Linked DNA regions of Arabidopsis thaliana. The protein of the gene in region 3 purifies or fractionates together with the protein of the main gene of each other region. This does not show direct contact. Each region holds a gene or a part of one and is shown on either strand. Other genes may lie near its edges. The genes, in order: AT1G60080, AT2G07110, AT1G54440 and AT5G38890.

The links.
Region 1: the proteins of AT1G54440 (region 3) and AT1G60080 fractionate together in Arabidopsis thaliana (co-fractionation; one large-scale study listed by BioGRID). This does not show direct contact.
Region 2: the proteins of AT1G54440 (region 3) and AT2G07110 fractionate together in Arabidopsis thaliana (co-fractionation; one large-scale study listed by BioGRID). This does not show direct contact.
Region 4: the proteins of AT1G54440 (region 3) and AT5G38890 fractionate together in Arabidopsis thaliana (co-fractionation; one large-scale study listed by BioGRID). This does not show direct contact.

What each region holds. Positions count from the first base shown.
Region 1 is NC_003070.9:22,149,675-22,157,196, forward strand, and holds AT1G60080 (3'-5'-exoribonuclease family protein), read right to left. Parts: upstream 4,970-7,522; 5' UTR 4,772-4,969; intron 4,679-4,771; 5' UTR 4,666-4,678; coding exon 4,506-4,665; intron 4,422-4,505; coding exon 4,372-4,421; intron 4,292-4,371; coding exon 4,222-4,291; intron 4,143-4,221; coding exon 4,037-4,142; intron 3,942-4,036; coding exon 3,875-3,941; intron 3,736-3,874; coding exon 3,660-3,735; intron 3,393-3,659; coding exon 3,085-3,392; intron 3,003-3,084; coding exon 2,931-3,002; 3' UTR 2,556-2,930; downstream 1-2,555. Other genes in the region: BGLU4 (beta glucosidase 4), read left to right, coding at 5,908-6,036, 6,112-6,175, 6,260-6,309, 6,390-6,465, 6,543-6,614, 6,699-6,786, 6,866-7,118, 7,188-7,303 and 1 more.
Region 2 is NC_003071.7:2,950,473-2,956,619, forward strand, and holds AT2G07110 (exosome complex exonuclease RRP46-like protein), read right to left. Parts: upstream 2,737-6,147; coding exon 2,505-2,736; intron 2,442-2,504; coding exon 2,341-2,441; intron 2,258-2,340; coding exon 2,138-2,257; downstream 1-2,137. Other genes in the region: AT2G07120 (F-box associated ubiquitination effector family protein), read right to left, coding at 3,133-4,119, 4,176-4,250.
Region 3 is NC_003070.9:20,320,293-20,330,393, reverse strand, and holds AT1G54440 (Polynucleotidyl transferase, ribonuclease H fold protein with HRDC domain-containing protein), read right to left. Parts: upstream 7,359-10,101; 5' UTR 7,111-7,358; coding exon 6,853-7,110; intron 6,718-6,852; coding exon 6,562-6,717; intron 6,306-6,561; coding exon 6,147-6,305; intron 6,064-6,146; coding exon 5,980-6,063; intron 5,662-5,979; coding exon 5,582-5,661; intron 5,488-5,581; coding exon 5,437-5,487; intron 5,355-5,436; coding exon 5,246-5,354; intron 4,797-5,245; coding exon 4,714-4,796; intron 4,508-4,713; coding exon 4,462-4,507; intron 4,370-4,461; coding exon 4,282-4,369; intron 4,196-4,281; coding exon 4,026-4,195; intron 3,597-4,025; coding exon 3,438-3,596; coding exon of another isoform or gene 3,414-3,437; exon of another isoform or gene 3,035-3,413; coding exon 2,876-3,034; intron 2,781-2,875; coding exon 2,463-2,780; 3' UTR 2,385-2,462; downstream 1-2,384. UniProt on the Arabidopsis thaliana protein: Acts as an important epigenetic regulator through multiple silencing mechanisms. Involved in transcriptional gene silencing (TGS). Plays a role for DNA methylation in the RNA-directed DNA methylation (RdDM) pathway.
Region 4 is NC_003076.8:15,566,514-15,573,546, reverse strand, and holds AT5G38890 (Nucleic acid-binding, OB-fold-like protein), read right to left. Parts: upstream 4,130-7,033; 5' UTR 4,041-4,129; coding exon 3,888-4,040; intron 3,752-3,887; coding exon 3,677-3,751; intron 3,580-3,676; coding exon 3,491-3,579; intron 3,407-3,490; coding exon 3,322-3,406; intron 3,092-3,321; coding exon 3,010-3,091; intron 2,741-3,009; coding exon 2,649-2,740; 3' UTR 2,378-2,648; downstream 1-2,377. Other genes in the region: AT5G38895 (RING/U-box superfamily protein), read right to left, coding at 232-264, 493-602, 861-1,263, 1,344-1,593, 1,911-2,092, 2,243-2,272; AUG5 (HAUS augmin-like complex subunit), read left to right, coding at 4,743-5,260, 5,845-6,384, 6,700-6,841.

The DNA.
Region 1 (7,522 bases), 1.8 Mb from region 3:
GAAAATTAGGGTTTAGAAAAACAAAAGTGAGTCGCCGATGGATAAAGGTAGATGTCGAAATCTCTCTGTTGTGAAGTCAAACATGAGTATGAATTAACATTAATGGATCTTTTTGATTCATAATACTCATGTTTGGTTTCACAGTAGATAGATATCGACGTCTATCTTTCGTTAATTATGTTGATGACGTTGTGGAGCTATCTATCGTTAGAGTGGATAAACTTGTCTTGTTACATTAGAGAGTTGATCATATGCATGGATTCATTTCAGATGGCTGTTTGGGTAACTAATATTTAAGATTTTGGTCAATTTAAGTTACCAATTTATATATTGGTTACCCATATGGCCATCTCAAATTTAATCCGTTAAAAATTTGCTCGTAGATTGCTTGGAAATCTAAATTTTATAATCTTTTACCCAAAAATAAGTATAACAAGTTTTCTGGTTACGTTAGAGTGTTGATTATATGGATTCATTTGAGATGAAGATATGGGTGATGATCAATGCTTACGATTTTGGTCAATTTATGTTAGCAATTTAATTCTTTTTCATCCATATTTTCATCTCGAATTTAATCTTTAAAAAAGCGTTTGTTAGATCACTTAGAAATCCAACTTTGATGCTTTTTAGTATTAACTAGTTCCGTGATGGTCATGTTGCTGATTTGCTATAATTTCATCGTTCTTCTTTTAGTCTACTTATCAGTAATTAAGTGCAAATCTATCATTATTTTTTTGTTTTTGTAAGATTCACTTTCATCAAGATCAGTATTGATGAGGGTGAGATCAGTTTTCTAGGTAAATATTGTTCGGATCAAAGTTCTCATGAATCAGTGAACCAAAGTTTTAGATTCTTCTGGTAAGAATTCTGACTTACCGCAAGAATCTAAAGTGTTGATATGTTTTGTCAAATACAACCAAATGTAAAATTCTTTTATTTGTTTTTTTAATACATTTTGAGTATGGTTTTTAAAACAATGGTCACTAGCTAGAGTGTCCATGATCAATTCGTCTTCGGTCGTTGGATTTGCTAAGATGTAGTTCTTGAACATGATGTATGCAAGTTAAAGAGAAAGAGATGTTCTTAATCTTCAGTTTTCTTCTCTTTGTACGATGCTTCCTTTTCGGTGATCGATGCATTGACTTGTTCCTTTTGTCCAGAGATGACAACTACTATAATGGTTTGAAAAACTTAGGGTTGAAAAATTAGGGTTAAAAAAAAAAACTAGTGGATCGACGCCAATGGATAGAGTAGAGGAAGAGGCGGAAGATAGGGAAGTAAGTATACAATCTAAAGAAGATGAGAGTTTTTGTAAGTTTCTCGAGATGATTCCTCTTGATCTAATTCCTGATATACTCTTGAGACTTCCTGCTAAATCTGCTGCGAGGTTCCACTGGGTCTCTTAGCTATGGTCATCAATCACCACTCATCCAGATTTCATCAGGTCGTTCGCGAGTCAGTCTTCAACTAGGTTGTGTCTTTTGGTCTGCGTGAAAACAAGTGACAAGCGTATTTTCTGCGCAATGCCCCAACATGAAAATCCGGACAGATCATGTTATCCACATGTGGAGCGTTATCTGAAAGACACTCTCATATTTGATTATCACGAATGGTCCCAGTCGGTCCATGGCTTGATATGTTTGGGAGATTCTTGGGGCATATTGTAGTTTGGAATCCAATCATGAGACAACATGTTACCTTACCAAAAGTCGCATTTGAATGTAGCTCTTTAGGATATGATCCGGTCGAGGGTAAGTATAAAGTCTTGTGCATCTCATGCTCTAGATACCAAGATCCTCTTGTTTTTACTTTGGGACCTCAAGAATCATGGAGAGTGACACAAAATACCCCTAAACATGTCCCTCTATCCGCCGAGGGACTAATACAAAGTATATGTATCAACGGGGAAGTGTATTATGAAGCGAGTATACCTTTTGGAGTCGATGATAGTTCTGAAGTTGAGAAAGTCCTTATGAGCTTCGATGTGAGGTACGAAAAGTTCAACACAATAAGAAAATCAGCGGCTGATAATTTACTTTGCAAATTTTTCCTCAACTACGAAGGAAAATTTGCATGGGTTTGCTCTGACGACGTCTCTGGTAAATGATTTTGGGTTTTGGAGGATGAAGAGAAACAAGAACGGTCACTTAGAAAATTTCCTCAACGTGACCCGATCTGGAAAGTTTCTTGGGGGCTGAGAGGTATTACTCATGATCCACTGGTGAGTTTATTTATACAGCTGCAACAACATCTGAAGCAATTTATGTCTTATATTATGATCCAAAAAGAACCCTAGTAAGGAGGGTCAAATATGATTATATGAAGGAATTGGTGACGAAGAATTCTGGAAGCTTAATCATAAAAATGTAAGAGAGGTCCGCTATTATCATAATCACACTGAGAGTCTCATGTCTTTGGAGGAAGTTCCTCGCTTAGCATATGATTCTTCCACAGATTCAGAATGATTTTATGTTATTTAGTATTTAATTAGTCTCTCGAGGACTTTCCTCGTCTAGTATGGAATATTTCTTTCACAGATTCAGAATGGTTCTTGTTACAATGCCTCTTTTAAATGGAATAATATTTTAACATACCCTTACATTATAACATAAAAAAATTCAGAAAAGCCTAATCAAAAACAAACTTGCGATGGTGGTCAACAAACAAACTTGTTAATTGCTTTTGATTTGAACATTTGTAAAATTAATCAGCTTACGCACATTTCGGTTCGTTTGAAATGGAGATAATATAATCTCACACTTACACTAGCACTAAATTAAAGTCGTTATATGACAAACAAAACCGTAACACAATCGAACAAAAATGGTGAAGAGCTTCTTCCTTTGCCTCTAAATGGGTAACTTGGTGATCTGATTAAAATATGTAACACAAAATTTCAACAATGTTATGGAATCGTTCCATCTGATAAATTAGTCGATATCCATCTCTCCCAATATCTGCTTAAGCTCCTTTGCTCTCTTCCTTGCTAACTCGACACAGCTCTGCGCATAGCAACTTTATAAGAAACAAAAAACGGTGTAAATCAAGTGGTGGATTAACCTAAGAGAAAGCTAAAACTCTCACCTTGATGGCTGATGAATAGGCGAGAGCAGCTCCTCCTGATTTGTAGAAAGAAACCATTTGATCCGAGGAATCCAAAACAACAGTCACAAGAGTGTCCATGATCGATTCTTCTTCGGTTGTTGGATCTGCTAAGATGTAGTTCTTGTGAAGTATGCAAGTTAAAGAGAAAGGAATGTTCTTAAGCGTAAGTTTTCTCTTCTCCTTGTTCACTGCTTCTTTCTCGGTGATCAAAGCATTGTCTTGATCTTTTTCTCCAGTGACGGCAACTATTCTTCCATTGTCATTCAGAGCAACAATTGGAATTTGCACTGCAATATAAAAGATATTTTATGCATCAGAGGAAAAATTCTTCTGTCTCGGAACACCAATCACACAACTTCTGAACAAACCGCTATTGTGCAGGGAAGAATATTACTCAGGTATGACTCACTCAGCAAGATTTAAGTGTTCTCTAAGGCTTGCTCTTTTTACTCATATTCGAAATGGATTTGATAAACTTGAGAATCAGCTTTATTCAAAGGTTCTCTAAAGGAGCTGTGAAACCAACTAAAGGATGAGAACAGAGAAGAACTTACGATTGGAGAAGGCTGCGACAGCAGCAAGCAGAGCAGCATCAAAGAGAGCACCATCAGCATCCAGGCAATATATGTCCTATGAGAAATTTCAGAGAGCAACAATGTTCATATATATGCTAGAGAACTCAGTTAAATATCAAAGAGAAAGATCCCTAGAAGAATAGATGTGAATCAACTGACGGACAAGCACCGATATAAGACCAACGAGTACTCACCAGATAACCCATCCAAGCAGCTTTTCCACTAACTAGACACAGTTCTTTAAGATCAATCATACCAGAACTAGAACAAAAAAGAAACACTTTTAGAAGGAACATTGTATTTGATGCTCAATGAGACAGAGAAAATATAAAGAGAAAGATCAAACCAAAACACACCTTAAAATAGTATCAGACAAACGCTTTGAAATAACGGGAGCAGCTTCGGCTGGTCTTCCAGGACGAACAGTCGGAGAACAAATTGGAGGCATATGGAACTCAATAGCTACCAAAAAGGAATCACAAAATGAATCACCAAAGAAGAACAACAAACCACATAGAGAACAAGACAACGAGATAACAACCTATGCATCCTTCGTCTGGAGAGTCCGTAGAAGGAGTCATAACTTCCATTCTAATAGCAGCAAGCATAGTCTATAAACACGAAACAACTATGTAAGCAAAACATTGCTGATCATGTGAATACTATCGAAACGACTAAGGCGGGTTCTTACAGTGGAACCAATCTTAGCAAGAGCAGACCCATCAGCAGTTGAAACAAGTCCTACAACAAACACAAGAAACCACTATAAAGTTGACATTTTTAATTTGATAAAAACTAAAAAGAATCAATCTTCATTGTTTATACCAAGATTAACAATGGTGTCTCTAGCTTTTCCAAGTTGTCTTCCATCAGGACGAAGAGATTCAGAGAGATGACGCTCAAAGAAACGAAGAGGGAAGATTCTTCTAAAAGCATCAACTTCCATCTCTGTCGACAAGTCTTGAGCTGCATCTGGTATTCCCATGTTTTCTTTAGCTCTGCTTCATGTCACAAAGATAAAGAGAATCATAAACCAAAAGTCTCTGAGTCTGTGCTTCATCAACACAGTCTCAAGGAATCACAAAGCTTACCTTGGGACAAAAGAAAGAACTGCCTTTGGTACACGAAACTGTTGTAGTGAAGAGGAAACACAAGCAATAGAGTGTAAGAAGAAGATTGAGAGCTCGCGGTGTCGTAAGTAATGGGGATTTCGACGGAGACGGTGACGGTGACGACGGCTAGGTTTATCTGAGTTTTTAACTAAAGTACTTCTTCATTCTAAATGGGCCCCAAACAAAGCCCAATAATGTTGCGAAGCCCAAAGAAATGCGAAATAAGAGATTTGTTTGCTTCACAAGACATGAGTATATTGAAATTTGGGTTTTCAATTAGATGAATTTGGCGAAAATATGAGGCGCACTTGATTATGAGCTGAATTTGGGAAAATGTTTAGTGTAAATTGTAAAATATGAAGAAGAAGAAATGGCGTCAAAATGAACATTATACATTCTTGTTTTATATCCAATTTTGTTAATCCTCCATACATTACTTAATGGTGTTTAATTATAAGTTAAGAAATTTCTCTTTTACTATATATATCGTTATAAGTATTCGTAGAAAATTTCAATTCAAAACATCGTTATAAGTATTCGTATATTGAAATTTGCAACAATCAACAGAAAAACTTATCGTTATTCCGTTTTTTTCACATCTATTTTAAAATTTTAAGATAATGTATGTTTAATATTTTATGCTTTGTAATAATTATTAAGTTTTATGAAATAAAATATTTTTTTCTTTATAAGAGGACCAAATATTTTTACTTTAATACCTCAAAAGTTATTATATCATAGTCCATACTATTAACAAAAATTTAGGAATACCCAAAAAAAATTGAAATGTAACAAAAAGTCCAAAAATATTTTTTTGGCCCAAAAGCCCTCATATATGTGGGGCTGGGGCTGCATAGCCGCATGGTTTTCCGGTCCCCTAGTTTCTTTCGTTATTTGGGTTGGTCAGACCTGGGCTCCGATCCAGCGTAATCTGTTTCTTATCATAGTAAATAAAGACCATAATTCATTTCAACACACTTCCCAATATGTTTCTTATCTAAATTGCATCATCATTAATGTCTACGTCACAACTATATCTAGCGGGTACGCAAATGGCTACTGGACTTACTTATTCTAACATGGAACGAAGAAAAGAGTGTGTGTGTGTGTGAGAAATGGAACAGATTTTGGCTCTGTTTGCCATTTTTCTTGCTTTTGCTTTCTCCGGGAAATGCAGCGACGTTTTCAGCAGATCTGACTACCCTGAGGGATTCGTCTTTGGAGCCGGCACTTCTGCTTATCAGGTTTGGAACCAATTTATGAGCTTCTTTTTTCTTAACTTTTGAACAAAACTGAACCAAATGTTTGGTCTCTACTAGTGGGAAGGAGCTGCTGCAGAAGACGGAAGGAAACCTAGCCTGTGGGACACTCTTTGTCACTCTCGTAAGCTTTTCATTTTAACACAAACTATTATTAGTATTAGAGTTTGTCACTCTTGTGCTTTGATTCTTGTTTCTAACATTGCAGGTGACCAAGGTAACGGAGATATAGCATGTGATGGGTATCACAAGTACAAGGTTCTTTAGCTTCTCTGTTTCTCTGACTACATCATGAGGTTTTATTCATCAAGCCTGAGTTTCATTATGAATTTATACAGGATGATGTGAAGTTGATGGTGGACACTAACTTAGATGCTTTCAGATTCTCCATCTCTTGGTCTAGGCTAATACCTAGTAAGTTTTCTTAAACATGTTATAGCTCAGTGAAGGGATCAAATTTATGATCAGTTCGTAATTTATTATCTGATTAGATGGAAGAGGGCCTGTTAACCAAAAGGGTCTACAGTTCTACAAGAACCTCATCCAAGAGTTAGTAAGCCACGGTAAGACCTATCTTCATATCCACGGTAGGACTCAAGAGTTAGGTTTAGTTCGTATTAACTAGAGTTTAAGTAGACTTACTACAGGAATTGAACCACATGTTACACTCTACCACTATGATCATCCTCAGTCTCTGGAGGATGAATATGGAGGATGGCTCAACCACAGAATGATGTAGGCGTTACTTATTTTCTCTTACAGATTTTGTAGTTTAAGATAAAATAACAAAAGTTGATGTTATTTGCCATTGCAGCAAAGACTTTACTACTTATGCAGATGTTTGCTTCAGAGAGTTTGGGAACCATGTCAAACTATGGACCACGATCAACGAGGCTAATATATTCTCTATAGGAGGTTACAACGATGGGGATACACCGCCTGGTCGTTGTTCCAAACCGAGCAAAAACTGTTCTTCAGGGAACTCTTCCATTGAACCATATATTGTAGGCCATAATTTGTTGCTTGCGCACGCCTCTGTTTCAAGACGATACAAACAAAAATACAAGGTATATATTACATAACCCTCTCTTGAATGTGTGAGAAGAAACACACTATAAAGTATATATAATATGCAGGATAAGCAGGGAGGTTCCATAGGATTTAGCTTATTCATATTAGGGCTTATTCCTACTACAAGCTCCAAGGATGATGCCACTGCAACCCAAAGAGCCCAAGATTTCTACGTCGGCTGGTGAGTCAGGCACAAACTGTTCCAAAATATTGTTCAACATATCTCAATAAAAAAGATTTACTCTTTAAAACTCAGGTTCCTTAGACCTCTTTTATTTGGAGACTATCCTGATACAATGAAAAGAACCATTGGATCAAGACTGCCAGTTTTCTCTGAGAAAGAATCAGAACAAGTTAAAGGCTCATGTGACTTTGTAGGAGTCATACACTATCATGCGGC
Region 2 (6,147 bases), on a different chromosome or scaffold from region 3:
AATTTCTGTAGTTTATGTACCAGTTTCTAGTGGGAACGACACTGATTTCTTTTAATAGAGTAAGAAAAAAAATTAGAAAGAAAAATAGGAAACTAGAATTTGCAAAAATAAATTACAAACTAAGTTTTTATTTATTTATTTATTTGATTCATTAATATTAGGGGTTATTTTACCACTTTTAAAAAACTGAGGGTTTAAAAATCCACAAAAAAAAGTTGAGAATTTTTTCATGATTGTAGATAATGTGAGGTTTTTTTTTATCCATTTTTCCATTAGGATGAGTTGTTTGTTATTAAATAAGAGGATGATTTGTATCAAACAAGAAGATATAAAGTTGATACTTGAACAAGAGTGTGATTAGTTTTGCTAAATTAAGCACATATGCATATGACAAGTTGTGTGGGTGAGAGACTCATCATAAAACCAAAAATGAATGTGAGAGATTCATCAAGACACAACATAAGTTTCTTAAAGTACTTAATTTTACGATTCTTTCTTTTGTTTTGTTCAACTACTATCCTTTATATGGCACACGTTTATCTATACTCTCTTAAAAAGGAACGCATGAGATGATCACAACTTATACGAGAAATTCAAATAAAATAAAAAGATTGTATTTATATCTTGTATTTGGAAACTTTAGATTGAAATGAAAATGTAATGATTTCTTTCAAGAAGAAAGACCGCATGCACCATCCGATGTTTTTCAAGGTAAGGGGGAAAATGAGAGTGATAATGAGCTTTGATTCTCATAAGAACTATTTTTGGTGTTCTTTCTTTCATTATTGTTTTTAGTTTCTTTATATGAAGTTTCAAATGAAAAATGTAACACTTAGATTCCTTCTAAATAAACGCACATCTCTCATTTTCTCTAACTCACAATATTTCTCACTAGTTCTTCAAAAGTTACATAAATTATTTTGCTTAAGCTAAGAAAATAAGTAAATTAAGTATGATATATATACATATAAATATATATATATATATATATGTATATATGTCTTATTTACTGATTCAAAAACCTTAAGTAATTGAATTCTTTATTTGTTTGTTTTCTTAGCTTCAGTGTGTTTGATAATGGAGATAAGAAAAATAATGTATGTTTGATAATTGTGTGTTTTTATGTTTGTAGACATGCATGTTTTTTGTGAAAACTGTGGGAAGTCAAACTGTGACAATCGATGTCAAAGGTAACATGACCCAAAATCGGGAAATTGAAGTCTCTTCGAGAAGCGAAAGAGGGGATTTTGGCTAACAAATAGAGGATCTACTTCAAAGGGAAGATGTTGGCGGACGGTGGAGCTACCAACTAAGATTTAAAATTTTATAGTTTAAGGAATTGTGTTGGTCTTTTAACTTTTTGTTCGTCCAATGGTAGGTCTTTAAGCGGGTTTCTTAAAAAACAAAAAAACTATTATTAAATTAAAAATTACACATATTTTCTTTCATAAAATTTAATAATTAATCTAAATTTTTAAATTTTAAACATACATGATATAAATATTGAAAATCGGAATAACGATAGTTGTTAGCTTGATTTCCGCCAAATTTGTGCCGTAAAATTTAACTCTTAAATTAATTATGAAAAAGTAATAGTGAAATTATTAAGAAATGATTTCTTAAAGTTTGAGTTTTTCATTTAAAAATTTTAAATAATTCTCATTTCTAAAATCATTAGTTTAACTATTTTAATTAACAGTTAATATTTAAAACTAATTTAATTTTTAAACTAATCTTGAAGAAAAAAATAAAATCCAAACATGATACACATATTCCTTGCCTAAAAATTAGATGATTATTATGAAAAAACTAAATAAATATGCAAATTAAATATATCTAAGCTATTCGAGATTTATGCTAAGAAAACAAGTAATTTGAAAGACTGTTTTGTATGACTGTTTTGTATTTTTTTTTTTATTCTGCTAGATCGTTCAATATGAAAGAAGAAGAATCTCAAGGTAAATTTCTCGACTTCGTAAATTCTATCCTTCATAGTCTCCCTTTTTGTACATCATATTTCTTTAGAACAAACGTTTAATACCTTCTAACTGCCAGAATGGAGGCCACGGTAGAAGTTACACAAAAACATATTCACACTCTCAGTTTATGGGATTACAAACTTTCACTACTATAAACTCTATAAATACTCAAACAGACATTGTTTATACCGGATTATATGTGTTTCAGACAGCATTAGTAAATGTTTACCAAGGTGAAAGGAACATAAAAACGATACAGAACCACCATCATGTACAACCTACACAGAAATTACAAAATGAAAACATCAGATACAACTCAAGTTGACAATATATATATACACAACATTGAATAGTTACTCACCTGAATAATCACTGAGGTGGTGGTATTTGGAACAACTCTCAAAACACAAATACTCTGTAGCGTCCTTTTCAGTATCGTTTCATACTCTTTTTCAACTTTTCCTATCAATATTCAAAGCAAAAGAAATTCACATCTAAAAACCAAGAATCACCTGTACTACATACTCAAGCGACAAAACAAGCCTCTTTCTGAAAAACTAAACGCATTTACGATTACCAATCTATCCGGTTTAAGGCTTCCATATGACTTCAAACAAGCCTTCTCAGCATTTTCGTTCTTCTTCGTTCTTGCTTTAGGTCCGTATTGCGCAGATAGAACTTTTGTATCCTCTGAAAATATAAACGAGAGAGTTCCATGTATCCCATTCAAAAAGGATAAAAACAACTTTGTACCCATAATAGATATTGAGAAAGCTGATAAAGTACCTTCTGACCAACTAGGAGAGCCATGAGGACGATGAAGGATATTACGCGAATAAGCAAGAGGTTTCAGCTGACAAGTAAGTCTTTCACGAGTTATATTTCAAGTAAAAAAAAAAGATATAATCTTAAAAATTGTAACTACATAAGATAGTTTTAGTTTTATTAATTAACTACATAATAACGAATAAAAAATAAACATAAATTAGCAAAAACAATCAATAATTGTTTTTCACAATTTTCAAAACAAACTCACGCTTCACAATTTTCAAAACAAACCCACGCTACACGTGGGTATTTATCTAGTATAATATAAAAGACATGAAAAAAGAATCACATTTCAAAGACTGTTTGTACTCGAAAAATCGAAATTCTAAACTTGCAGTGATCTGAATTCCAAAGGAACCGAGGTCAAACTTGGAAGATGGACACATTGAGAAAACCCAAGAGAGACAGAATCTATTTGAATCTTCTTGCAGAAGTCTCCCCTCGCAATAAAGATGCAACCCACTCCAGTTTGATTGTCGTCACAGCACAGGATAAGGGTCATGTCATGGATGAAGTAACTAATATCAGAAAGCTGATGGAATAGCGAGGGAAAATCAGGTATTGACAGTGTCATCAAGTTTAACCACACCACATTATTACTAGAGTTAATCATGTCATTTGTTACCCAAATCTCTGTATTACTTGATATACGAGATTGCTTTAACAATGCAAACTGATCGCCCTTAAATACAGTGAGGACAAGTTTATCTCGTAAGCCAGAAACATGCTTCCCACAAGGAAGGAGACAAAAGTGCATGGATATTTCTGTGGAGAAATCAAAGCTTCCGAGAAAATGCTCACGAGTATCTTCATTGTAAGCAGTCCAATACAAATTTCCATTCAAGGACACATATTCACCTCGACCTGCCAGCATTGGCCATTCCGGGGAATCAATGAACTTAAACGCTTGAGACGCACATTCAAAGATCGCAAATCTGTGGCCGATTTTCAGTGTAGTGTCATAGAAACGACTAAAATACCCAAAGATCTTGTAATCCTTTTCGGGTTTACAAGCATCGTATCCTACACCGCAAAAACGGAAATCTCTGTCCTCCTTATACTCGATCCACCCAACCTGTCTTAACCATGGATTCCAAATGGTAACCCCTTGGTTCCAAAAGTCACGAAACAATAATCCATCGCAAGCCGTGATCCTGGTAAATGCCCACTTCTCAGCCTTAAAATGAAATTGACAGGCTAGCTCACGCACCTCTATCTTCGGATCAAAGTCGTCCAGGCCGATGGTTCCTATCGAATAAATCTTGGATTCGGGCAGGATGATAAATTGGGGACGTGCACAACCCAAGCTTTTCTTGATGAACCATTTGTCGTTGAGAAGATCGTTCAGTGTTTACATACGGATCTTACCCGAACAAGGGATCCAGGTGGAAGCCGACACAGTATCTCTTCCTCCAACTCCCACGGAAGCTTCCCCGACGCCATTACCTTTCTCCGACTTCGGTGGCTTTAGAGGAGAATCTATATATATACCACCGCGTGTACGACTCAAATAAATAAGAAAAGGAATATTTTTATCTGTTACGAAAATGAAATAACACCCTTTTTTGGGGATAATATTAAATAATTCTTAAAAGTAAATGTCAAATAATTCTTAATAATTATTTAGGAAAGAGATTTATCTTCCAATAATAAAATTACTGAATAATTATTTCTCAAGGATAAGAAGTTAAAAACATAGATTTGAGGAATAAATAAAAAAACAATTATTCTTTAAATTGTTTATAAAAAAGAAAGAAATATATCTTTCAATAAGAACTGCATATTTTTGTAAGAAATAAGAAAAAAAATTCATTTCTTAAGAGTTAAGAACAAGAAGACAATATTTGGAGAAATATTCTGTTTATATATTCTGTTTTTAATTGTTAACCTTGTAACCTGTTTACGACAAAAATAGAGAAGATCTATTGGTTTTAATCAGCAGAATCTAGCAAGAAACTAGATTGATTACCATTATACGAGATTACAAGAATTGATTTCGATGCAAAACTTAATTTGTAAATTTGTAATTCAGCTAAAGGTAGTTGGTCGGTAGGTTTGACACAGAACATATAACCTAATTTTTATATGACTATGGTTTTGCCTATGTGATCTCTACAGCTTCATTGATCAACTTGAAAACTAGTTCTAAACTTTTTCACAAAATACCAACACTGAGACTAATCAATCACATCAAATCTAGAGCAGCATAAGTATTGAATATTGGTTTAATTTAAACAAATTTCTCTACATATACAAGTTAAATGTCTGAAAATAAACTTAATTTAAACTTTTTTAAAACAAATAAATGGTTTTTTAATTAATCAATATAAAAAAATCGCCTTTAAATTCCCTTGGAAACATAAATATTGCGCATCGGTTTAATTTTTTAAAAATTACCAAAAGAGGAAAGCTGAAAACCAAAACCCTAAAATAATATTAAGAGCCACGTTATCCTAATAGATCAAATGATAACATAACATTGAGAGCCACCTGCTGCCGTTTTCTTCGGCGACTAACGATGACGATGCCGAATCTTCCAAATGAGTTGGTAGAGGAGATTCTCAGCTTTTTTCCAGCCACATATCTGAAACGTTTGAGCTACTTGCAAACCATGGAACCGTTTGATCCACAACGACAAGAGATTCGCAAGAAAGCACTACGATAACGCCGCAAAGGAGTTTCTGGTTTTCATGTTGAGGAAGAACTTCAGGATTTGTCTGATAGGCGTCAATCTCCATGGACCTAGCTGATCCATCTGCAGAGGTGAAAGGTGAGCTTACCCTACCAGATCCGTATTTTAAGAACTCTGCTGATGAATTCGATATAGATAGAGTCTTTCACTGTGACGGCCTATTGTTATGCACTTCCCAACTCGAACGTAGAATGGTTGTTTGGAACCCGTTAACTGGTGAAACCAAGTGGATCCAAACCCACGAAGAAGACAAGAACATATCCTGCAAAAAGAGCTACAAAATCATGGGGTTTTATCGTAGTGGTAGCAAAGTTTGGGAATACGATTTTGAACTCTGATTCATGGAGGGTTCTTAATGGTATCCTTCCAAAATGGTACTTGGATGAATCTTGTAAGTGCGTGTCTTTGAAGCGAAATACTTACATGCTTGCTAGAGCTGTAACAGAAATGGGCTTTCACACCTATCCTTGCACAGTTACGATTTTTCAACAGAGAAATTTGCACCTGTGTCTCTTCCTTTTCCCTCTCACGCCCGTAGTTCGAATGGTGCTAATCGTCTTTCCGTTGTTAGAGGAGAGACGAGATAAGAGATCCAAGGCTGAGATATGGGTGACAAATAAGATTGATGACACCACCGAAGGAGCAGTT
Region 3 (10,101 bases):
AAATCCCCAAATCTCAGAATCAATGAACACTAGAATTTGAGAGAACCCAGAAATTTAATCAATTGATTGTTGAGGGAGAAATTCATGATGATGAAGACGGATCATATCAGCCACGTTGCAAATCATCTCAGCCACAACCACACGATAAATCAGATAGTTATTAGAGCCTTCTCAATGCATTATTTCTCCGGACAAACTTTCTCAAGACACTTTCAGTCAAGGATAAATAAGATTAGAAGATACAATGGATTTATTTTTGGTTTTGCTTTTTAAGATTATGATTAAATTGGCTTTGTTGTTTTGTTGTATAACTCGATTTACTCAAGCTCTACAATTTTTGTCTCTGTTTTACATTGCTTTTTGATCTCTGCAACTATTAAAATGTTAATGGCACAAAAACCGTGTCATAAGCTACAAAATGATAACGATTCACCAAAATGAGACAACAATGAGATTCCAAATCGTTGGGTTTGTCTCCTCTACGAACGATGTCATGGTTTCCCCTCAGGACTTGCTTTATTTCCAGAAAAATTTATTGAAAAAGAAGAGCAAAATAGAGTTTCAGTCAAAGACTAAAATTTGAGATTGACTTAACTCCAAATTCATATATCCGCAATGCTCTTTCAAATAATGTGTTCACAAATGATGTTTTTCCAAAAACAATGGAGGAAAATTCTTCAATTTCTTCTATAGACAACGAAACGGAGAATTTCAATTCCAAGAATGGAGATGTATATGTTGGTTTTGTAATCGGGAGGTGATGGCGGAGAAGGAGACGGGTCAAATGGGGTAGAAGGAGATGGGTCATATTTTTAATTTGGTTTAGGATTGGTTTAAGTGGTTTAATATCAGTTTATGTTATAAACCAATTAATCAAACGTTTATGTGTTTTGAGGTTTCGAACTTTCAAATTAGGGAGAAATAGGACTAGAACTTTTTATTTGTGTAGACCAAGATCGAGGTTGAAATTTTGTGTAGTTCTAATGCTATATGAAACTTCCGAGGGGGACACAGGTCGTTCGCCCTAATAAAAGTGGATAAACGTTTTTAGTGGTGTTGTAATAAACGCGAAAACAATGTCTTCTATAATTAATTTAAATTTGATCTATTTAATAAAATTAAAACCCAATCGTGAAGCCTAATCCCTATAACATTAACATCATTACCGCTTATAAGAAAGGTAAATATAATAGAAATACTCTGTATTTTCTTAGCTTTAGATTTTATGAGATTTCGTAAATTTAAACATTTGGTCTTGGTTTAGGAATTCTATATTTCAATGTTCTTTAATAAAGTGAGACAAACATCTCTATCATGAATCTCTTCCTTTCGTTGAAACTCTCACCCCTTGTTATTTATTTACTCGCTGGATCTCATGCTAGATCCCTCTTTCACTCACCAATATTACATCCGAAGGGAATAAATCTAAACCTCAAAACACATGTATTTTAAAAATAAAACATGCTATTAAAACTAATAGATCTATATATTACATATATTTAGCAATATATACCATGTTATTCAACAGAATCACATGAATTATTGAAAGAAATCTACATATTTTATCAATATTTCACGTTATTTATCAAAGTAACATGAAATCTTCTAAATTCTGCATATAAACCATGTTGTTCAATAGAGTCGTTTGAATTCTTGAAATAATTCTACATATTTATCAATACTTCATGCTATTTAACAAAGTCACATGAAATCTTAGTCACTGACGATGAATATGTGAGCTCCGATCTTTGTCTCTCTCTCCCTCCTAGTCATTGACGATGATGAGTACGTGAACTTATCCGTAAGACATCTGTTAGCCAATTAACTGAGGTATTTTTTTGTCATCGGTGATCCACCGAACCATGGTTGGAACTTGGAAATGAGATTAATGGACGATGATGTAGTGTTGTTGAGAAGTAATAATCATCTTAGCGTAGGAATAGTTTGGTCATTGTGAGAAAAGGTTAGTTACTTAATTTTCAGCATTTGGCTAGTTACTAATATTACCCTTTATAATATAGTAGTTCTTTAGCATGGTTTGTAAACAATAAAAACAAAAGTTTTTTAAAACATAATATTTTGCTCAATTTTAAACAAGTAATTTTAGTTTTGTTTATGAACTCAAGAGCGACTAAAAATTACAAAGTATAAACAATTATAAAAAAAATATTTCCATAACTCTCCAAAAAAATAGTTGTAAGCTGTGTTATATTTACATAGCATGTAGTGTTTTCTTTAAATAGTTGCCCGTACCCACTAAAAAATATGTCTGGTCCAGACAAGTCTGGATTTGCTTTCACTAAGAGCAATGTTTTGTTTCTGGTTAATCAAAAATTCAATTAACATATATAAAACATATGACTACCTGTTGTATACACATACAAGTCAAGATAGATTGTCTATTGTCTGAAGATACCGACCAAAACATTGCATAATGTACCACAAAAGCTAATGAAAGGGCTCTAAATGTTAAGAAAGCCACGTTTCATATTCATGAATCTCCTATGTTTCTCACTTCTCCTACGCATGTCTTCATCTTCTCTGCTTTCCGAGTCATCATCATCGTCTAACACAATAACCTCTGTATTACATGTCTTCGGCTTTTGAGTCAACGATGGTGATCCCTTCGAAGGCGTTTCCGAAACTCTGTCCAAAGCATCAGCGGCTTTCGTGCTCTGTTCATAAGACTCATCATCATCATCATCATCATCATCATCCACCACTATGATTACCTTATCTGGCTTGGACTTGGACACTTTGACCTCTTCTTTTACCTGCAACTTCTTTCTCAGCAGATTAGTAATGTAATCAATTGATACCGGTGTTTACAAATTTCTATGTGAAGTACAATTCTCACACTATATAACAACCTCACCTTGTTATCACTTTCAAACTTCCTCTTTGACAGCAAAACTCCAAAACCACTGCTTTGTTTCTTTGAATCATCCACACAAACCTTCTTCGAACTCAGAGAAGAAGCTGAAGCTTCTGTGCCTGTTTTCTCAATCTTAGGTTCGATATTCTTTTCAACCACCTAATTCAAGAAATGTCATAGAGCAAAGAGAAAATTTTCACTATAAATAATTACCAAGTGCATGCAATAATAAAGCAGTCATGACTCATGGCTCTTAAGTAACATCTCATGGTTTCGCACCACGAAACTACTAGACATTTGGATTAGCAATTAGCACTTGCAAATAAGTCTCCTCTAGTTATAGTATTTTGGCCCACATGCTATTGAAGGGTGCAAGATTTAGTTCCTAATAAACTTGGTTCTATATGACCTAATCTATTCACTCAAGCAAGTATCATATATAATCACTACTAATTGCTTTTCACCAAGCAGGTAAGCACATACCCTTTAACTAAAAACCTACAGTTTTAAAACACATATGTAAAGTTCTCTTCTCACACTATATAGTATATAACAACCTCACCGTTTTGTCACTTTCCAACTTCCTCTTTAACGGCAAAACTCCAAAACCACTGCTTTGTTTCTTTGAATCATCCACACAAACCTTCTCCAGACTCAGAGAAGACGCTGAAGCTCCTGTGTCTGTTTTCTCAATCTTAGGTTCTATATTCATTTCAACCACCTAAATCAAGAAAAGACAGAGCAAAGAGAAATTTTTTACTATAAATAATTACCAAGTGCATGCAATAATAAAGCTTTCACGACTCATGGCTATTAAGAAACATCTAGCAATCAGCACTTGCAAATAACTCTCCTCTAGTTATAATTTCTTTGCAAGTTCACATGCTATTGAAGGGTGCACGATTTAGTTCCTAATGCACCTTGTTTCAATCAAGCAAGCATCATATATATATGATCACTGCTACACCACAACTAAAACCTACGGTTTAAGAATACATATTTTTCAAAACATATCTACTCGATAACAGCAATCATTGCCAAAACCACTCCAGAATTAGAAGGCAAGCACATTTTTTTCGTACTCCTTATATAAACAGAAAGAAACCAAAAGGAGTTATACTATTAATTCATAACATAATAGATATCTTACTGTTTCAGGACGCCTATCTTTCAAAGATTGAACAACTGGCTCGAATGCCGCTGCATTTTGCATTGATCGTCTGATGACACTGATCACTGCGTCAAAATTACGCTCGAGGTAAGGAAGCTTTGACTTCAACAAACGGCGCAACTGGGCAACAACAATTGGCATCTCCTTGGCTGTTATTTAATAAAACGAGTTAGACCAAATTAGGAACCACCGACAAATATCCAAGAACCTGGAGATGAAATGGTAAATTATCTACCTATGTCAAAAAGAGTTTTATTTGGCAATACATAACCGGTGCTCTCATCATCTGCGCGTGCAATCCGATCCCGCCATTCACAAAGCCCCTGCAGCTCAGCAACTATTATGTAAGCTTCATATGGTAAAAAGAAAGGTAGATGAAGGGTGCCTTGTATCATTACGCAAATTGAGAGCATACCGCAACAATGGAAAGTTGAACCGCATTGAGATTACCTGTCTGAACCCTAACAAAATGCCAAAATGGAAACACATACTAGAGATTATTTTAAGTTAATAAGCCATGCATAAGATTTTAAACCTAATCGGGTATTGCTCTTCCATATAAAAGCACAAAAACGATTGACAGGATAGCCAAAGAACAGGTACACCAGGCAACAATTAAAACTAAAGCGTAGATTTTGATTCATGAGGGGGACAATAAGCAACATACCCATAAACGTGAAGATATGAATCCCTAGTCCAAAGCTCTTTTTCATATAGTTGCATGCACACGTCATAACTGCGCTTGTACACCTGTTAGCATTGATAACTTCGTCAAAATGGTTATCGAAAACTGAAAAATCCCAAGCATAGACCCACTCGACTCAAAAGAGAAGATTATGAATAGAAATGAGTTGATGCTTGATCTTCATGTGCCAACGAACAACCGTATACGTGACACAGAGACATCAGGAAGGATCAGTTAGAAAAATCAAAGAAACCAAAGTTAAAGCAGGGACCGAGGGGGATGAATTATTTTATACAGATCTTACTTTGGGCATAATATTTCTATTAAATATTGAAAGAGCAGAATGGTATGTTTGGTTTCTTTTAAAATTTGGGTGAAAGAGAAGGGAACAAGAGTCACGTCTAATTAAGTGGGTGTTTTTTTATTATAGCATCTTCTTTACTCTATCAGTCTCCCTTTAATCAAAATCTAGAAAAAGAAATACCAATAGAATTCGGGAGACTTTGATTGTTACCTCTACCAGAGGAGAGTCAGATTGCTCATCTTCCTTTGCCATTGTGTGCAACTCCATTCGCATTACATCATAAATGTACAAAAGATAATGTGTATCTTCTCTAGCATATCTGCCATTATATGCAAATGTGTTAGCTCAACTCAACCAATGCAAAGCAATCATGAGAGAGACTAGACAGAGAATATACTAACCTTTTCATTACATCTGGAAGGGGTCTTATTCTCCAGTCTGCTTTTTGGTATCTGCAGCCAATTAGCAAAACAGAAATTGAACGAAGAGTGAGATAATGAGAATGCAAAAAGAACAAAAGTTAACTAAGATTGGATTGTTATGCACTCTTTGTTTGCAGCAACTCCACAATAATGCTTCAGAAGAAATTCCAGACTATTTCTCTCCAGCTTTAGCACCCTTGAAGCCTGACAGAAAACAAAAAAGTACTGCTTAAGATTTAATAACACTTTAAACCTTAAGAACCTTCAGACCAAAGTTATCGTTTAATAGCCACAAGAATGTCACGAACATCATTAAAGGAATACAGGGACAGAAGAGTTATATTTTCAAATTTCTACTCTCTGGAGCGTAGACAAAAACAAAGGAAGAAAAATTGAGTTTCATTTTTTCCAATAAATTGTCTTCATTCTTCTACATTACTACCAAAATGGGTTCTGTTAAGGTGATCTCATACACCTCCAAGTAATATGACCATGTCAAAACAAAATAACCAGAAATCAAACCTGTCCTGTGTCAAAAAGATTGCAGACATAAATGCCAAAGTCCCGTTGAAGCCAAATAATATCTCGATCTGCTCCATGGATTACCTAGTTAAGTTAAATGGTTTCATATTGTATTAACTATATTCTAGGAATTCTGTAGAAAACACATTGCGCATTATGGAGAAAACCTTTTTCTTTTTAGGGTCTTTGAAGAGTTCCCTTAGATAAGGACCAATGTGATCCCAAAGCTTGAATATATCAACAATATAATCCTCGGTTCTAGTAGAGATTTGCATCAAGCATGTTAATCCTTGAAAAGTTCTATACTGATTATGCTCCAGATCGACCTACAAAAGGAATAAAAGACAACAAACTCAAGCAAGAACGATAAACAAGATATAATAAATAAGGAAAGAGATACCATCATCCTAACTCATAAATTAAGTTCTCTTTGTCTACTCAATATACTGGAGACAGATACTTTAAGGAAAGCTCATTCTCATTATAACACAAGCAAACTTCTAAGAGCCTCTACCAAAAAGTGCCACATTTTAACAATACATTGCACATCGGACTAAAAACAATCAGAGGAAGAAAATTTACAGCAAACTCTTCAACACTTTGCAATGCAGCAGCTAAGTCCTCAAGATCTTTGACTTCTTCAACTAGCTTGAATGGAGTCTCTTCCAATGGGAGAGGCTTAACAGGTCTCATCTCACTTAGATTTCTATCAACAAAGTCCATCACAGATAGTTCCTCCTACAATACGAGAACAGAGATGCAAACAAAATCACATACAGAAAAAGGTAACCTAAACAAATCAAAGATTACAGTTCCACACTCGAGATATTACATTATACAGCTACGAATCAACACAGAGACAACGAAACTAACCAGTGGATGAATGAACCGAAGACCGTCTTCACTCTTCTCCAACAAAACATGCTCAAAAGGATTATTAGCATTGTCTACCAAAATCTTATACTCCTCTTGAGGCTTCGTTAACGTCGGTATATGAAACGGAACCTCTGCCTTGCCAAATTTCGCGAATCCCTTATCACTCTCAGCCACTTTCACATCGATTACCTTCTTCGAATCTTCCTCCATCTTTCGATTCCTCTTGAACTCATCCATGGGATCATCAAATCTCATCGATTTCTTACCACCAATCGTCTCAAGAACAGACTGCGAGCTCCAAGCTAACTCATCGATCGGACGCTTGAACTCGTCGGACTTGGAGAGAGAATGGAAATCTCTGTTCGTCGGAATTGTAAGAGAAGACGAAGATAGTTTTGAGAGATTCTTCGGAGACTTCTTCACCTAAGCAATGTGATCTTCTTCACTCATTTTTGGATTCTCGCTTAGGGTTTTAGAATCGCCATTGAAGTCAAGTCTTAGTCAAGAAATGAGTCTTCGTATTAAAGCTTAATCATGATAAGGAGCTAATCTTCTTGATAAGCACCTAATCAATGTTGTGTGACATTTGTCAAAATTTTGTATTTGTTTTGGATTCCATACCAAATATGTACATGATGATTATTTTTATTTTTTAAATCCTATTTATTTGTTTTTAAGTTTTATAAGTTTAGATATATAAGTAGATTTTAGAATACTTATCAGAAAAATAAATTAACGGTTTATCATTTTATCTTAATGTATTTTCATGTTTACATGTATTTTTTAGAAAATTTAAATACAGTAAAACCTTTTTAAAAAAATTATCATCACACCAATTTTTTTAAAAAAAATACATTTAATAGAAGGTATATAAAAATTGTCATCATACCATATCATCTGCTTTATTATCAAATAAAAAGCAAAAAAATAATCTTACCATTATGAATAAATCAAAAATTAGCGGTAAAGATTAACGGTCATAAAGGACACAAGCTGTGGAGATATGAAAGAAAATAAATTTCGATTCTAAATATAATTGACATATCTATAATAAAATTCTAGCAATAAAAAGCACAATCAGTTAAGTTCATAATGTTGAAAGCTATTATAAATTGTCACTCTTATTGTATATATATACTATATTAATGACATGTGATTGTTGTAGATGTGAGTAGTAAGACATGTATTTATGAAAATAAACACACAATTAAATAAAAATATGTAGAAATTTTTATTAGAGAGAAAACTAAAGTGTCATGTTCGACACCTAAACATGTTTGTCTAACATCTTAAATTAAATTGTCCTGTTTGTTTATACATATGAATTTATGATCTGAAGATGGACCGAATTTTTTATTTCTTTGATTTATTCAGTTTACATATTAGAAAAGAAAATTTTCACTATTACATATCCTTTCTTTGTGCAAAGACTGATTTTTCCATTCATACGATAAGAGGAATTAGAGAGAATAAGGGTTCATCACAACCAAGACTTAAGACAACAAAATTTAATACACTGATTAGAGCATAATATAAACTGAATAGATACCTTGACGATAAATCCAACTTTCGGAGACATGAGCGATAAGGCACATAGACAAAAGCGAGAAAATCGTAAGTCGATACTACATCCACAAGCAAGTCGTAAATAATCATAGTCGATTGACAATTTGACTTTGAAAAGGAATCCAAGACCTCAATTCTCACCGGCATGAGACGTATTACTTCTTCTCCAAAAGATAGTAACAACTGGAAGAATGGACGGTTCCAGACCGGAGACCACATTGTAACAGTTTTCTTCATGAAGGAGGGTAAGGAGCAAATTGTTCTCTTTGTAAAGGAGGAGGGTTGCAGCAGTATGCTCTTCACAACGGAAAGAGTTGCAAGATGGGGACCCATAAGGTCAGTATCAGAGTCGAGTTCGAAGTATACAATATGGTTCATACACTTGAAGAAAGCATTCCAAAATTTTCAAAATATTAGAAGGCCAAGTCAGAGACTGAACATATCTCGCTTGATACGTATGGAATAGGGAGACGACGATATGTTGCAGATTGCAAATATAAGCCGGTAGACGAGAGGCAAGAGCCACAAATCGGGATAATCGTTTTTTCAATTGGTGAAACAAGTTTAGAGACGAAAAGTAGATAAATTTTAGCAAGGATTGTCAAAGGATAAAAATATCGGCGAAATGATTTCTATTTTATAATAACATTTTTACTTTCCATTTTATTACGGTAAAATATCTTCAATCTGTGTGACCAGTTAGTTTAAAAAGTGAATAATAGTATTATCTAATATGGTATGCATGTTTGCTTTGGATTATGTATTTCAAAAAAAATTATCCTCGTCAATGTTTTTCTTGACCTTTTTCGGTTCGATCTGTTGATTCCTTAAAGTTTGGCTATAGTGTTGTTGTTGGGCAGTTTTTGTTAGTCTCCTCCACCAGAAATTTTTGACCAAATAAATCTAAATTTGGTCTGATTTTACTTCTTTTATACTAAATCCATGTTGTTTTCACTCGACAAATTGATCATGGATCCTTTAGACGGTTTATCTTTGTCTCTTTCGAAGCTCCGTCAAACCAATTCATGAAATATATATTATTAGTTTTGAAGTCTAACTATCATCAACGGAGGACAAAAGATTTGAAGACTACATTTTGAAGATTCTATAGTGATATCAATTTTTCAAATCTTTGAAAAATATTGATGCATGAAAGTTGTTATAAATTTAAAAATTATATAATCGTAGCTTTCAATTTTTTTTTTGCTATTTCTCATATCTGATTTGTGTAACTGGTTAAATTTCTTGGGTTTATGTTTATAATGTTGTTGATGTTGTGTAAAATCCTCTCTTTCTAATAAATATTAATAAAAATAGTACAATTTAATATATATATATATATACATATATACTAAGACGAATGAAGATATATAATTCAACTACAGATAAAATATATTGCAGTTCAAATAATAATCATATATATAATAGCAGAGTTTTCTCTCCTCTAAAAGTGTCCACGTCACTACATCTTTTTAATGTGGAGCCCACATGTTTTTACTCTGTCTTCACATTTTTTTCTATGCGTGAGATAGATTTAGTGATGTTTATGGGGCACGATTTAGTGATGTTTATGGGGCACGATTTGGTCAAAAAGCCCATGAGCCAAAGAACCAAATAGACTTAGTGAGGTGTATCGGGCCAAGATTTAGTCAAAAGAACCAAATAAACCAGTATACTCCT
Region 4 (7,033 bases), on a different chromosome or scaffold from region 3:
TAGATAACAATTTTTTGAATGATTCAAACTACTTTTCCTTCCAATCATTGTCTTGCTTTATAAATGTATATAAGATATATGAGTCTATAAATTAAGAGACATCACATATTTACTGTTAAAAGGCATCTGGATATTCACAGGAGTTTTATGTACAAGTGATTTCTCTCTGTTTATTCTTTTGAGCAGGACTCAGACGCCATTATGTTCTTTGAGCAAGTCTTTATTACAATGCTAAGAAGTTTCATTTTCATCAAATGCCATCACCTGAAAGATTAGAGTGAAACAATTAGGTATGGATGCATTAACTCCAAAAAGTTAACTCATCTCATGGTTCTCTATATGACCAATAATTGTATGAGAAATGGACCACTACTTAAAATGGGGATATCAAATTCTAATACAAAATGATGCACTTTTAATATCGATGAAGGAGATTGATGGAACATTCGACCAAATCCGGGTTTTAAAGTTTTGTAGAAAGCGACGAGTTACCTTTCCACAGACGGGGCAAGTTTCACTTCTCTCCATCCATTCATAAATACAGCTAAGGTGGAAATGGTGAGAACACTTGGTGATTATCTTCGGATTCTCCAAAGTGTAATCTGCATATTGTTAAAACAAAGAACTATGAAACCAATATTACCTTAATGCACTCGCAACGATTGCCTCATCTACGTAAACTATACTATTAATGGCCTAATGGCTCAGGACTCAGGAGTGCACTAAATGAAGAAATGAAACCAAGAAAGCAACTTATAAAGATCTACTAACAACCTAACACACTCTTTACCAACAAAACTGCATATAATAGGTTCAAAGAGAATAATAACAATAGCATCAAACTAATTTTTTAGTATTACCATCAAGGCAGGTTGGACAAATATCTTCATCATCCGAATCTGCATAATAAACTTCTATCCCCGGCATTGTTTTCGACTTTGTAAAGGTTGATGAACCTTTCGTATACACTTCTTTCGAACCATCTTCAGAATCAGACTTACTCCACTTGGCTCCACCATCACCCAAAGCTTCAGAACTCATTTCAGTATCACCTCTTAACGGTTCTGATTCTTCACCTGAATGACTAGAGCCCTTAACAAAACGAAAGTACCTAGGATCAGCATCGTAAGGCAATGGTGTTGGAGGAGAATGATATACACTAGACAGAGAGTCATCAAGTGCAGTTGTTGAATTCATCACTGTAGCTGTCTCTACAGTTGAAGGTATTGGATGCATTCCCCCTCTACTAAACAACGAAGCATACTGCCCAAAAAAAATCGAACATAAAGTTTTAACTACAAAGAAACAAAAGATTCGAAGACGAAAGTGAAGAAGAACATTACCAAATCCATGAAACTCTGGAGGAAGCAATTAAGGCAAGGACAGTTCCTAGTTATGGAAGTGTTTGGATTCACATAACTCTCAAAGAGATCAACTTGAAAGCAACAACAGAAAGCACCCATATCTTCGAAATCAATACTTTCAAATTTCACAGAGAATGAGAGAGGAAAGCCAATTTCACAGAAGATTTTCACTAGCTCCCGTAAACCAGAATCCTTCCTCTCTCTTCTTGGTGCAAAACTCTTGTTCCTCCTACACAGTAGAATCACCTGTAAGAGAAACATATAACATTTCTAAAACCAAATGAATAACTAAACTTGAATAAGCTAATACACATCACAAAACTATACAATTCGAGCAAAAAAAAACAGTTTTTTTAAGGATTCATTGTTTAATGTACGAGCAAAAGCATCAACCTTTCAGATAAAAAGCATCAATCCGATGAAACCCAAAAACCATCATAAGCTCATCGATCAACATCAGATGATCAGTAATGAATGGTATCAAAATCCAATGATCATCAAAGAAACTTTCAAAGGAAAACAAAAAACAGAGGAATCGATGAGTACCTTTGTGATAGAGACCTGAGAAAATCCAGAAGCAAGAGAAAACCCAGGAATTTTCCGGTATTGACTAATTCTAAAATTGAAGATTTTTCAGGTTCGTCGAAAAAGTGCAAAATGAAGTTTCCTGAATAATAGCGATCCTTTCTCTCTCGTCTTTGTCTTCTTCTACCTTTTGATCCATAAGCCTTTTTGGTCGAAATTTAACCAGGGAAAAACAGAAAGTTTCGTAAATAGTCCCTTTAATTTTACATATATTTAGTTATGACCCCAAACGTTTCGATTATAAAGCTTAAACTTATTCTAATTGTGACCCATACATTTTTGTATACAAAAACCATTTCTTTTCTCGGCAGCACCAAGGGCATACAGATTTACATCTCTTAGGAAGTTTGTTTCTTGATTTTCTGCTAAGTTTTTATACTACCAACTCACCAAGAAATTGCGACAATCGAATGAATTTTTAAGTTGTTCCGAGCTAAGCCTAGCATTTCCACATTGTTGGAGTTATGGATTTATGTTCAAATTCTAACAACAAAATGTCTTTCGAGTTTAAGAAGTTGTAAGTATCCTAATAATAATAGTATCCTGACTATTGTCGAATAAAGGTCAAGTTGGTCTAAAGTTATCTCTACACTTGATAACAAACAACAGAAGAGCTCAAAATTGTAATAATCTCAAATGTCTGTCTTGCTGCAGAGACCACACCTCATTATGTGAGAGAAGCCAAGTGTTGTCTTGAATTCAATTACCCACCTTGGCAACTTTTCTCTGCTCGGTTTGGCCCGACAAGGGGCACTGCATCTCTGTCCAACTTATCGGAACCATTGTTTCGCCTGCACAATCACCAGACCACATAAACATTTCGATTACTCAAACGGAAATTAACTTCGTATAGTATTATAAACTGCCCAAAGAAGCAAATGCATCTACACATTAACATACTCCAAGTCCAGGACGAAAATATTTGTTACTCATAATTCCATAATGAGAACTACAAGTTAGAAATGTATTACAATTTGATATGTGATAGATTAGCTATATAATTAGTAATCTTTGCCCTCATTACCCTTTATTTAGTTTCTAAGAGTAGGAAAAAAATTACCCGCAGCACTTTCAGCTGAGACCACACCAAGTTCATTCTTAGCAGTTGACAAGTAGTAAGCCCGTGCATCACCAAGAGACAGCTTTAAGAGTCCAAGTTAAGGCAACTTCAGATATTATCACCCAAAACATCATCTATTATTATAGACTACACCTACGCTACATTCAAATTAAACTATACAAAGAGATATGTAAGTAAAAAGAGAAAATAAATGGCATAATGTAACAAATCTTAGAATTGTCTCTCCTCTAATAAACAATGTTAACCACTGTACTACTAGACAATAAGTGTGAAACATAAGCGCAAGGATACAACCATAGCTCTAACAATGTCACCAGCATGGAAAGACTGATGCATGTCAACTTTGTCAATCTCTGTTGCTCTAACATCTTGTTGCCTATGAAAGAGCAAACACAAGTTAGATCGACACATAAAAGAACAAACCTTGAAAATAAACACCAAAGGAGGATGAGAAATTCACCTAATTACACCAGCAAAATTTTCACGAACGGCTTTTGAACCAACACACAAGATATCAACAGCAGCCATCTTAGTCATAACTTTAGTCACCTATCACGAATAACAGAGAATAGTGAGTGATGAAATTACTCTCTTTTTTTCCAAGTATGAACATCAATGAATCCAATGAAATAAGTGCAGGACTCACTCTTGCTATGACAACAGAACCAGTCTCTGGAATAGGACCATGTGCCTTGTGACCTGTAACTTCCACAATAGCTCTCTGCTTACCATTTTTATCATCCAATAAGTTATATATCCATAACAATCACAAAAACAAGTATAACAATCCAACGATTTCGATTTCGATTACGAATAGATGTGCCAGAAGAATTAATCACTTGGAACAAAGACGAAACCTGATCAATTGATTCGGGAAGAGGAGAAACAATCCGGCAAGTTCCTGTGAGGGAAGCGTAGATGGTGGCGTCGTTGACGTAAGCTCCTTTTCCAGCTTTAAACTCTGTCGCTTTCCCGATTACATCTCCCGGCGTTACTAGCCCCGTCGTCATTGTTTCAAAATTTTCCGATTTGAGAGTATCAAACAAAACCCTAGGAAGGAACCTCTGGGTTTTAGATTGAGAAAATTAAAACAATTCGGAATCCATCCCTTTAGTGTTATATAAATTCAACTTTGACCCTAAATGTTCTGGTTGTAATTTTAAACTATTCTAATTTTGACCCATAGTGTTTTCTTATTACCCAATTCGACCCGGTTAGACTTAAATACCTTAGTCCGACCCGGATACATCTCATACCCGAGTCCGACGCGGTTATTACCCAGTTTCAACTTTCAACAGTCGACGACACTTGCAGAAAAATTCGAGTTTGATTCCTTTAATTGAAAATCCAATAAACAAGCGGGACCTCGATTTGAAATCTCTTTATCCAGATCCATCTCTCCGTCACAATCTTCCATCTACCGTCACCGGAACCGGCGAGTTAGTCGTCGGGATTCCAGATCTGTTTGTCTACGTCTTCCTTCTGTCTCTGTGTTCATCAGAGTACCAATTCGCTCGATTGTTGCTGCATTTCGCGAATTGTATTAGGTTTATAGCGTCTATGAACTCCTGTTTTCGCTCGATTTGAGTAACCTAGGTATTTCTCTACGTTGATTGTTTGGATTTGAAGAAAAGGCGCAAAGTATGAGTAGAAATTTCGGAAGTTTCATGAAGATTTGAGGGATTGAGTTAGGTATTGTAGTTGTAGAGAGAATGCAGAGTTTATCGAGCTCGGCTCCGACACCGGAGGCGATATTAGAATGGTTACAGAAGGAAATGGGGTACAGGCAATTAGGTCCGTATAATGGATCGAGCAAATCTCATGTTCCTTCTATTGATGCTATAAGGAAGATTTGTAGAGGGAATATGATACCTATATGGAATTTTTTGATAAACCGAGTGAAATCGGAGAAGACAGTGGAGAGAATTAGGCGGAATATTACGGTTCATGGGGGAAGTAGTAATGCTAGCATTGGGAGTTCGGTAAATCCTGGGAAGGAGGAGAGTAAGAGTAAAGGAAGGCGGAAGGATAAGACAGTGACTGGTGAGAGTTCGAGTTATGCGGAGGATAGAGAAGCTGCATTGCAGGAAAGGGAATTAGCTGCAAAGGAAGTGGAGAGATTGAGGAACATAGTGAGGAGGCAAAGAAAAGATTTGAAAGCTAGAATGTTGGAGGTCTCTAGAGAAGAAGCAGAGCGGAAGAGGATGCTTGATGAAAGAGCAAATTACAGGTTTGTTTTGAATCTTTCAATTTTGAATACTGTATTTGGATACATTGCTTCTCACTTGTAAAATAATACAATAGAAATAACCTGCACCACTCAGCTCAGGTTCATTTAATATTTTCTCTTGTTGTTGTTATGCTTTATTATCGTTAGTGTTAAGTCCTCAACAGAACCATTACAAGTATGGTTGCTATGTGTAGTATGGTTAGCTGCTTAGAGTTTTGGTGGTATTTCGATTTCGTTTCTCTATGATTTCAGGAGCCATAGATATATAGCCCTGAAGTATTCTTCTTTCGTTTTGTTGATTCTCCAATGATTTTAATATACCCTAGAATGGAATATATGGGATTTAGTCAGGCTATTTTGTTTCTCTGGTTTCATGGATATGCCACATCGCCCATTCTTAAGATTCTCACTTTTGTATGGCGATATTGATTGTCTTTTTGCCCTCTTCATGAACCTCAATCAACAGCATTTATCTATGTTGAAATGCATTGATTCTGTTCATACAACAAATCAAAATATTTGTTGTAGTTATGTTCAGTAGATCTTTCAAATTGTTTAGTGAGTTTTATTTTTCCTTTTTTCAGACACAAGCAAGCATTGTTGGAAGCGTATGATCAACAATGTGATGAAGCAACAAGAATATTTGCAGAGTATCACAAAAGGCTACAAGTCTATGTTAATCAAGCAAATGATGCACAACGGTCTGTCAATTCATCGAATGAAGTGTTAAGCAGCCTCAGTGCTAACAGTGAGAGGGAAGCTGTTTATTCCACTGTCAAAGGAACTAAGTCTGCAGATGATGTCATTCTCATGGAAACAACCCGAGAACGAAATATCAGGATAGTATGTGATTTGCTTGCATCACGCATGATTGAAAGAATACGTAACTCCTTCCCTGCATACGAAGGAAATGGAATTTGTTCACTTCCAGAGCTGGAAACTGCCAAGCTGGGTTTTGAGTATGATGGAGAAATAACTGATGAGATGAAAACTGTTATAGTAAATTCCCTGAGGGGTCCTCCTCTGCTGCTTCAGGCTATTGCTGCATACACTTTACGCATTAAGACTCTGATATCCAGAGAGATGGAGAAGATTGATGTCAGAGCAGATGCTGAAATGTTAAGGTGTGTCCTGACTTTCCTTCTTATGCCACTCTTTGTTATTGTGCACTCCTGATTCTGCAGGGTATGGTTCACCCAAATGCACCTTGCATGCTATTTTTGCTAATTTTCTTGACACACAAGTGGAAGATTATGAAACTCATATAGCAAATTAGTACTTATGCTGAAGTTCCTGGACTCCCTTTAAGATATGTCTGATCAATGATAATTGTATCTCTGTCTCTTATAAGTTTTCAGTTTTCGTCTCTGCTTTCTTAAGTTCTTGTTCCAGGGTTGCTTTGGACTAACATAAGCAATTGGATGTCAATCTATTTGCAGGTATAAGTTTGAGAACAACCGTGTAACAGACAATTCTTCTTCTGATGTGAGCTCCCCTTTGAGTTATCAGTTTAATGGAAACGGGAAGATAGGCACAGATACTCATTTCCAAGGATCTAACAACCAGCTCCTTGAACGGCAGGTTGCTTTCTATGTCTAGTTTTGCTGGTTTCTTCTTGTTAATTTGAAGATATGGAGAAAGGAGGGTTAAGCTTCAGGCAAATGTTTAATTCAGAAAGATATGTTTTGGTCTTCTAGTGCTGTATTTGTATATGTTGCACTGTATGGCTATATGTTTAAAGTCTGTTTATCTTAACTTTCACCTGTGCTACTT